Caenorhabditis elegans: one gene and its partner. The protein of the gene in region 1 interacts with the protein of each later gene in a pairwise test. Each region holds a gene or a part of one and is shown on either strand. Other genes may lie near its edges. The genes, in order: acdh-5 and asd-2.

What was found.
Region 2: the proteins of acdh-5 (region 1) and asd-2 interact in a two-hybrid assay, tested with the Caenorhabditis elegans proteins (one large-scale study listed by BioGRID).

The regions. Positions count from the first base shown.
Region 1 is NC_003279.8:6,783,030-6,787,735, forward strand, and holds acdh-5 (medium-chain acyl-CoA dehydrogenase), read left to right. Parts: upstream 1-1,838; 5' UTR 1,839-1,878; coding exon 1,879-1,897; intron 1,898-2,071; coding exon 2,072-2,389; intron 2,390-2,720; coding exon 2,721-2,855; intron 2,856-2,902; coding exon 2,903-3,255; intron 3,256-3,491; coding exon 3,492-3,845; intron 3,846-3,891; coding exon 3,892-4,041; 3' UTR 4,042-4,110; downstream 4,111-4,706. Other genes in the region: cye-1 (G1/S-specific cyclin-E), read left to right, coding at 139-312, 354-725, 786-851.
Region 2 is NC_003279.8:6,888,913-6,893,832, forward strand, and holds the start of asd-2 (K Homology domain-containing protein), read right to left. Parts: upstream 3,232-4,920; 5' UTR 3,174-3,231; intron 2,611-3,173; exon of another isoform or gene 2,534-2,610; coding exon of another isoform or gene 2,501-2,533; intron 2,455-2,500; coding exon of another isoform or gene 2,192-2,454; intron 2,148-2,191; coding exon of another isoform or gene 1,837-2,147; intron 1,792-1,836; coding exon of another isoform or gene 1,646-1,791; intron 1,600-1,645; coding exon of another isoform or gene 1,473-1,599; intron 1,423-1,472; coding exon of another isoform or gene 1,184-1,422; intron 1,141-1,183; coding exon of another isoform or gene 1,049-1,140; intron 1,003-1,048; coding exon of another isoform or gene 342-1,002; exon of another isoform or gene 290-341; intron 1-289. Other genes in the region: C48B6.4 (Tyrosine-protein phosphatase domain-containing protein), read left to right, coding at 342-1,002, 1,049-1,140, 1,184-1,422, 1,473-1,599, 1,646-1,791, 1,837-2,147, 2,192-2,454, 2,501-2,533. UniProt on the Caenorhabditis elegans protein: RNA-binding protein that binds to the 5'-NACUAAY-N(1,20)-UAAY-3' consensus sequence in pre-mRNA introns to promote alternative splicing.

The DNA of each region.
Region 1 (4,706 bases):
TTACACCCTTTTTCAAAAATCCAAAAAAACCGGCAAGCCTGGTAATAATTTTAATAAAATATTTCACCGATCTAGAATTTGGGTTCAATTAATTTTTTCACAGTATAGATTCACATTAATTTTTGTTTTTTTTTTCAGGAAATTTATCCACCTAAGTGCATCGATTTTGCTCATCTCACCGATAGTGCATTCACCTGTGATAATATTCGAACTATGGAAGTTCTTATCGTCAAGTATATTGGGTGGAGTCTTGGGCCAATCACAAGTATTCAATGGCTCTCAACATATCTTCAATTACTCGGAACCGGCAAAGTAGGATTTTAAATTTTTTGTTGATTAAAATATTTTTTCAGAAGAACAAGTCTGATCACTACGAAGAGCAAAACATGTACGTGCCAGAATTACTCCGTTCAGAATATCTTGAAATGTGTAAAATTCTCGATTTTCTGCTATTTGAGATCGACTCATTTACTTTCTCCTATCGTACCATCGCTGCTGCTGTTCTTTTTGTCAACTATGAGCCAACTTGTGCTGTTGAGAAGGCTACCGGATTTATGCAGGCTCAACTTGAAAAAGTTATTGAATATGTTGAACCGGTGTGCCGGGCGTTCGCCAAACAACGACAACTTCTTGACGATGTTATTCCAAAACATGAATCAATAAAATCGGATGATTCACACAATATTCAAGTATACGTTAAAAGGAGTTCAATGGAACCTATTGTGGTAGGTGGATATATAAAATTCATGAATTAGAGGTTGTTTTCATAATTTTTATTTTTCCAGAAAAGCGAACGAGAGAGGATTCAGCATTTAAAAGCTCGCCGTCTTCATCCGCAACGACTTTTCTAAAATAACCCGCAATAGGATTCTTTTATCATCGAAATTTCTGTAGATTACTTACTTCAAATAATCATGCACACAGGTTGTCCCCGTTAATTCTTTCCTTCAATCTCTTTCTCTCTTTCACCTAGTCTGTGCCATTTCAATATGATTGCACCCCGGAAAATATCAAAAACTTCACTTAACAAGTGATCCCATATTACAAAAATATTCAAATTCCGAAAATCGAAAGATGCATTTCCGTTTTATTTTACCGAATTTTGATGTTTTTGTAATGTGTTTAAACCCCTTTTACAATTAACTTATTAATGTTTTGTTTTACTCATCTCACTTCCCCTTCTTACTTTGTGCTTATTTTATGTTTTAGGTTTTTTTATTGTATCATAAAACTGGAAATTTTGAAATAGGCTTCTTTCTCCCTAAACTTTTTTAACAGGTACTGTAACTGGTACATATCCTCTGCCCCACCCCGCTCCCAACTCGTCTTTGTCTGTTTGTTTATACGAAATACAATTTTTAACGAGTATGCGGGTTTCTGTTAGCTTCAACAATACGATCATTCAAATTTTAAAATTAAGAAACTATAAAAGCACAGTATTTACGTGAGTTGAAACAAAATGCCTTCTCCAAATTTCTTAACACTGAAAAATTTTCGGAAAAAAAGCAGAAATTACTCCGCAAAAAATTAAGGACATCATTCCAATATTTTTTTTTACTTATTTGATGAAAAATTAATATATTCCAATAAATTAAAATGAATTATCATCTCAGGAATACTGTAGAATTACTTTAAGATTTTGGCTTATTTATATTAAGTGGTACGGTAGGGGTACTGTAGGTGTATTGCAGAGTTGTAGACACTGTAAATGAAATTCCAAAGAGCATAAAATTTATCAAAAAAAAGTTTGCGTGAATTTCTAATTAATGTTTAATCTTCTTTTTTTGTTAAAATTTGTTCAGGGTTTCTTATCAAAAAATGAATCATTATTTAGTTTCTTGGCTAAAACACTACTCATCTTCGTAGTTTCTTGCCGTGATGTTTCAAGCTTTGTTAAGTAAGTTTGAGTGAATTTCTGGTTTTGGTGGAATTTATTCTGATATCGAAAGCTCTATGTCTATTCAATCAATTGATGAAAATGCGTAAATAGGGAACTATGCACACACGGCGGCTCAGACTGATGAAGCTTTTCTAGTTTTGGAGAATGAGGTCTAATTGAGCAAATTTTCAGCAAAACTCAAAAATAATGCGGCTTTGGGAGCAGCTGCAAATAACTTGAACAAGTTCAGAAGTTCGAATCTTGGTAATCAGAGACGTTCTGTCTCAGTTGCTGTGACATCAACATCTCCGAAATCGGAAAAGCCAGTAGCCAGGGAACATATGATTTATGATGAAACTCATTTTGTCATGCAGAAGAGTTTGGGAAAACTTATCGAAGAAAAAATCAATCCAAATGTGGCAAAATGGGAACAAGACGGGCGGTATCCAGCACATTTGGTATTCAAAATGCTTGGAGATCATGGTGTTTTTGGTGTTAATAAACCAGAAGGTAATACGCTTTTTTTAGCTAACTTGTTTTATTAATTAGTTATCCATGCAATATTATTATTTGATTGGACTTTTCAAAACGAAAAAGTGTTACCACAAAAAACCAAAAGCGTAGATTTCAGAACTTGGAAGAATAACTTCCAGGTTACAATTAGAATATCAGAACACCAACTTTTTGGGTTCTAAAAATGTCAAGAGCCTGTAAAACTACATCATTCTAAAATGTTAAAAAGATAGTACTGGTGGGAGGAAAACCTTAAAGATACAAAAAACTGCAAGAATAATAGAATTAATACGGTGTGTTATTTCTCATTTTTACCAACGATTTTTAGCATTTGGTGGAACTGGAACGGATATTGCAATGGCAACAGCAATTGCTGAGCAGATGGGAGCAATTAATTGTGGATCAATTCCAATGTCAGTTATGGTTCAGACTGATATGAGTACACCTGCACTTGCACAGTTTGGTGAGTATTTCCGTTTACCACCAAAATTAGAAATAATTGAATATTAGGTTCTGATGCTCTTCGCGAAAGATTCCTTCGTCCATCAATCACTGGAGATCTTGTCAGTTCATTGGCTGTATCTGAACCACATGCTGGATCCGATGTATCAGCTGTGCACACACACGCACGTCGTCAAGGATCTGACTTGATAATCAATGGTTCGAAAATGTGGATTACAAATGGTGGTCAGGCGGATTGGGCGTGTGTTCTTGTGAACACATCAAATACATCGAATGTTCATAAGAATAAATCGTTGGTTTGTGTTCCATTGGATGCTGTTGGAGTTCATAGATCAACTCCACTGGATAAGTTGGGAATGAGAAGTTCGGATACTGTTCAGTTATTTTTTGAAGATGTTCGCGTGAGTTTTGAGACACAAAAAACAATTATTTCGTTTTCAACAATGATAATTTCAAAATACCAACAAAAAAGTTCACCACGAGTTTTGAATATTAGTTTTTCGTTGATTATTTGTGCTTGAACATTCTTGCATCAATTCAGGACCTTTACCTAGTTGCGTGATTACAGTACACATATTTTCACTTTTTAAAAGCAATAGTAAGAAATTTATTTCAATTTTAAACTAAAATCCTGCAGGTCCCTTCATCTTACATAATTGGAGAAGAAGGTCGTGGATTTGGATATCAAATGAAACAATTCAATGATGAACGTCTTGTAACTGTTGCTGTTGGCCTTCTTCCACTTCAAAAATGTATTGATGAGACAATTGAATATGCAAGGGATCGATTGCTTTTCGGAAAGACTCTTCTTGATCAACAATACATTCAATTCCAATTGGCTGAGTTGGAAGCAGAGCTCGAGGCAACTCGTGCACTGTTGTATCGAACTGTTCTGGCACGAAGCCGTGGAGATGATGTGAGCATGTTGACTGCAATGGCAAAATTGAAGATTGGAAGATTGGCTAGAGCTATTACTGATCAGTGTTTGCAGGTAACAAATACAAAACTTTTCACAATTTCTAAATGATATTTTATAGGTGTGGGGAGGTGCAGGATATTTGAATGAAAATGGAATTTCGAGAGCTTTCCGAGATTTCCGTCTTTTCTCGATCGGAGCCGGTTGCGATGAGGTCATGATGAGAATCATTCATAAGGCTCAGTCACGTAGACAACTGAAGAAGGCATAGGATTGATTTATTCCGTAGCTATTCTATTTTCCTTTCTGTAGTATTCTCGCAATAAAATTTTTTATTGTGTGTTCAGTGATTTCAGAGATCTTATTAAAGTGAAAAAGCCATCAAGGTTGACGCATGCCTACGTTCTAACGTCTACCTCATACTTGCCTAGGTGCCTACCTCATGCCGTCTACGCCATACCTGCTTATATCTTTTCAAACCTACAGGAAGCTTAAAGCTCCCCCTGATGCCCTGACTATCTAAATCCTTGCCTTATGATGCCTGCCTACTTTTATGTGAAACAGTTTTTATTTATTTTTTAAGTATTTTGAGATGTGCGTACTGTTTGGTTGTGAAAATTGCAAATTGTAATTGGTGAATTTTTATCTTGAAGAATTGAATTGTATACGTTAATGATAGAACAACTATTGTACAAGATACTTAATCGCGTACTAAATATAACATAAGTGTAGAAACGAAAATTTATGTCAAGTACAAACAGGTATGCGTCTTTAAGGAGTACTGTAGCTTTAAAACTTTCGTTAACGAGGAATTTCCATCGATTTTTCATAGTTTTTGTCACGACTTGTTAAGTAAAATGTATGTTTCTTTTTTAATTGTTAAAATGTTAGTTTTTTAATGAGTACATATGTTTTTTTTCAACGAAAAGCTATGAA
Region 2 (4,920 bases), 110 kb from region 1:
GCTTGGTGTGACAAAATTTAAAAAATAAGATGATGTAAACGGATCGAAAAATGGAACAAGTGTTCCAGTAGAAGCGTTCGAAAGGGGATGAGCACGAGTTGTTCAAAGAAAAATTAAAAAATGTTATTTTTTAAAAATCATTTGAAGAAAGACTGAATGATAATATTCAGAAAATATGAACATTCTTGAAAACGAATCCATTTTTGACGTGAAAACATTTGAAAACATAATTATTGATTTCAACGTACACAAGGGAAGATCAATAAACCACGATTATAAAATCTTGCGAAGACAATCATTTTAAACTTCTACGAGTTTTGAAGTCTTCCAACTTGCACAAAATGGGTGCAAAATCATCAAAAAAGGCGAAAATCTCGCCACCAGCGGATCGATATTATACAAAAGTCGATATTGAATCTGGTCCCGCCGTTGTTGCAAAGTCTCAAGATTTCATATTGGAAGTGCCGGTCATTCCAGAAACATGCGAAGAATCGATTCCCGATTCAAGAATCTCTCGTGATGTCTCCGAAGTCTCACGTGTGTCTTCTGGAAGTGAGGTGGATGTTACCGGAAGTGGCGTTGACGATGAACATCTTGATATACAATCCAGTGATGATAGTGTTGAGTCGATATTTGATCCATTGTTATATCTTGCCAATCAGGGAATTGATGTAACTCATTCCAATATAAGGGAACTTGTATGCTCGGAAAACTATCGAGAATTTTTGAAACAGCGTAAAACCATGCTTACACCAAAGGAACTTTTCGAACTCGAACATGGAAGAATTCCTGGGAATTATGGTAAATCAAAACCAAAAGAAGAGATTTTGAAGGAAATTGATGAACTTGAATGTAAAGCTGATGATTTATTAACTGATTTGAGTGATGATGAAAATGGATGGCCAAAGTATGATATGAATGCTCTTCTTGAAAAATATGAAAATCACAAAGACTCGGAGCCCAATTTATTGATTCCAACAAAGGAGGATTATGAAAGAGATAGTGAGTTTCAGTTTATTTCATCGCAAGTATCGTTATTTTATTTCAGAAAAAACCTGCTGTCAGCAAGTTCTGAATAGCTACGAGTTTGACATGGTAGAGTCTTCAATCAATGGTCATGGGTTGGAATTCGAATGTCTGGTAAGTGAAATTATAATTAATAAATGCACTATAACTCTTTCAGGGCCCTGACGCAACTCGAACACAAGATTTTTGGACTCAGTGCCATAAAGATCGCATCAGCTTGATTACAATGTTTGGAAAGTTTTTGGAGAAACGAGGGGCCAACTGTAAGCAATATATTCCTGACGATAAACAAGAGATTCTCAAATGTGGACAGATAATTGTACGACGATTGACAGATCCAGAATATCCATATCGACATTGCAAAATTCAAAAGTTTGCAGTAAGATGCAAACTAGTGTAAGTTAATGTGTTCAGATTACTAATACTGATTTGATTTTAACTTTTAGACCAGAAAATTATGGTTGGTATGTTGTTTGGCACTGTCAACGAGATATTCAAGAATATCCATCAAAAGATTATACAAAAGAAGATGAAGAGTTTGAGAATCTTCGAAAAGATCTTTTGAATGATATGGTAAGCTTTTATCAAAAAATAAATAATAAATCTTATATTTTTAAAGCCAACTCAACACTGGCTTTTTCATGGTCCAATGCAGTTCAGTCCTCTCCGGGATAGACTTGTGGAGCGTAATTCATATCTCATTGAAAAGAAAGGATCCAGTGTTCCAGATTTCGTGACACAACCTATTCAGGCGGCCAACGCTAGGTTTGATTTCGATACCGTGAAATGAAAATCGAACATTCTTTATAGAAAGGCTCTCTACGAAAAATCTTGCTATTTGGGTTTCCTGACCTCTTCATCATCTCAGATCTCACTGTCTGGATGCCAATCAAGACAAATTGGCGGAGCTGACGAAGTTGAAAATCTCGTTAAACTGGAAACCGAGGAATTTGATCTACAGAAATCGCTCGGCTCATATCCAATTCAATCTCAAAACCGTCTGAATAATGTCATTCAAATTTATGCCAACAGTCCAGATCCAGAACAGACACAAGACTTTTGGCAAATGATTCTACATAAAGGAATTCCAACAATTCACACTATATCTGATTTAGACCCGGGTAAAATTTTAAACCTCAGATTTCAAAAAAAAATTAAATTTCAGAAGAAACTGCAAACTGTGCTTCCTATTTTCCCTACGGCAGTGAAAGTGAGAAATCATGCGGAATTTATACTGTTAAACGACTCGGAATTGAGACTCAATTATCGATGAACCTGAAGAAACAGCAACTTCTGATTTTCAAGATGGGAGAGTCTGAGTATCAAAATGTTGTTAATGTAACTCATTTCCACGAAATCGTCAAGAATCAGGTTACTGATTCGAAAGTTAGAAACATCGAAATAATCAATGAGCATGTATCACGTCAGGTTTGAATGATTCATTTATTTGAATTTATAACCATATCCTTTTTAGTCAAATCCTCAACTTCTGATTCATGGTCCCTAAGAAAACAACGCAAAGAGTTAATATTGAATACGGTATTCTAGATTTTTATGGAATTTTAATAAAGTGATATGGCTTTATTATTTTTGAACTGAAAGCATTGACCTTAAAAAAGAATAAGAGGGAGAATTGAAAATGTGAACAAACTCCAAACTTGCAAGTAAATACATCGAAGTGATGGTGAAAGGAGGAGAACATAATTACATACTTTGTCGGTATTTCTCTGACGGTCTCTCCAGTGAAGTCTGCACTATTTCGTTATTGCCCGATATTAACACCCGTGGTTACCCACATTCATCGATGTTAAAAAGTAGAGGAAAGAAGAATTCAATGGGAACTGGTTCAGATTTAAGAGATTACTGTAGGATTATAAAGCTCCGAACAAAGTAGGTAAAGGGGAAGAGGACCGAAAATAAAAACAATAAAAGGTAACATTTGTAAAAGGAAATTGAAGGATGGCCTTATGAATGCACCTTATGAATGCACCAATTTTCCGGTACATTGCTTGCATGATGGAATAATAGAATTGTCCGAGACACGAGAATAAAATTGGTGAAAGGATATTGGAAGAACTTTTCTCAAGTTAATGGTTTTCTACTTATTTACAGTTAAATACAAATTTTTAAAAGAAATAACAGCTTACCTGACAGCTCCTAGCACTTGAAGAATCGATTGGGTGGCGTGAAGACAGGAATACGGCTGGAAATTAAACATTTAAAACTGGAGTCATTTTTGAATTAATAAAAATCTATAAAGATAAAGTGAGCTAAGAAGCATAAGGTGTTTTATTTGCGAATAAACAAATGAGAAGAAACCGAATCGGCTGGATGGCAAGTTACGTAACACCTAGGCAGTCGGCATACACTTTCATTTTTCAAATGTATTGCAATGAGAAGGTCATCGTTGGAATGCGGCACTAAAAGAAATAAGAGGCAAGAATATTGAAAGCATACTTTCAATGAATGAATATTTTCCAATGGCAAGGTTTTTTAAATTTCAGTATTTTTCAAATAACTGACTGAAATTGTCCACATTGACAGAAATTATTTTGAATGTGATATCACTTGTTGCTTCGATTTGAGAAGCTCAGATTGTTTGGAAAAATAAGTTCATCGATATTTATAAGCTACCTCGTGTAAAAATGAAAATCTTCTCTTACTGGGGTGAGAGTTGCACCTCAAAAATATGAATAATTCTTGGAAAAATTGACACGAAAGTATTTTGGATAGGGTATTGGAAGGGTAAAGAGTATTAAGAAAATTTATTGGAAAAATTGAAAGTTTAGAATTGCTCAATCTGAATTAAGATTATATTAGAGAAAGAAAACGAGATGTGGGTTTTCCAGAAATTCGAGGAATAACAAGAGAATTTGGCAAATCCGCGAATCGAATTAAATATTAATTAGGGTTCGCATTTTCAGATTTTCAGAAATATTTTGAGCGAAAAGATTCATGCTAAATGTATTTTCGATGTAAAACACAAGTTTTCTGGAAAAGTGCTCGTAAAAGCTGGCTTCCCTATCGTATCGGTATAAATATATGTCAACTTTACATATTTCAAATTTATTGTAAAGTTCAATAAATTTTTCCAAAAGTAATGTCTCACTGCACGGTAGAGGGAATGAAGAAAACTATGAGTCCTCTACCACCACTAAATATGAATTAATACATGCCGCGTGCAGATTTAATTATAGTCATCATCTTCATACACCCTTTCTTTTAGTATTCGAACGAGAAGCAAAGGAAGAAGGAATAAGCTTAAATGAGTGAGAAGTGGACGAAGAGAAAGAGTGAAAGACATGATGATGAGCTCAGGAAAACTTATATGACGATAGATTACGGATTAGAGAGATTTAGACGGACAGAATGACAGGCGGATCAGTTGTAACGATGCCAGGTGACCTCTTATTCTTCTTTGCCCACTTTTCCGCACCAGTTGTTGCTATTTGAGGCCATCGGGAAGCACTAAAGGACCCCGACTTTGTCTCAATTGATTGGCTCTAAATGTCGGATTTCCGTCAAGAATTTGAAAAAATGGACGCCGCAAAAAACCTTTCTAGAAAATATCATTAATTGCAAAGACTTGATGAGAAGATAATCTCTTCGGTAACTAACTATGTTCAATATGGAAAACAATCCGAATGTAATTAGAGAATAAACACTTATCCATTCGATGAGCAGCTCAATATAGAACACACGCGAATAAAAATTGGAAAATCACTGGAAAGCCATCACTGACAACATGTGTGCGCGCGTATTTTCTTCTTTTTCCATCATCCGTCTCCGTTCAATCAACACTATCTTTTCGGGGTTCCCATGATTCGTTTTATGAGGAAAAAATGAAAGCGGAAGGCAAGAAAATGGTGAAAGGAAACAGAACGATATAATTTC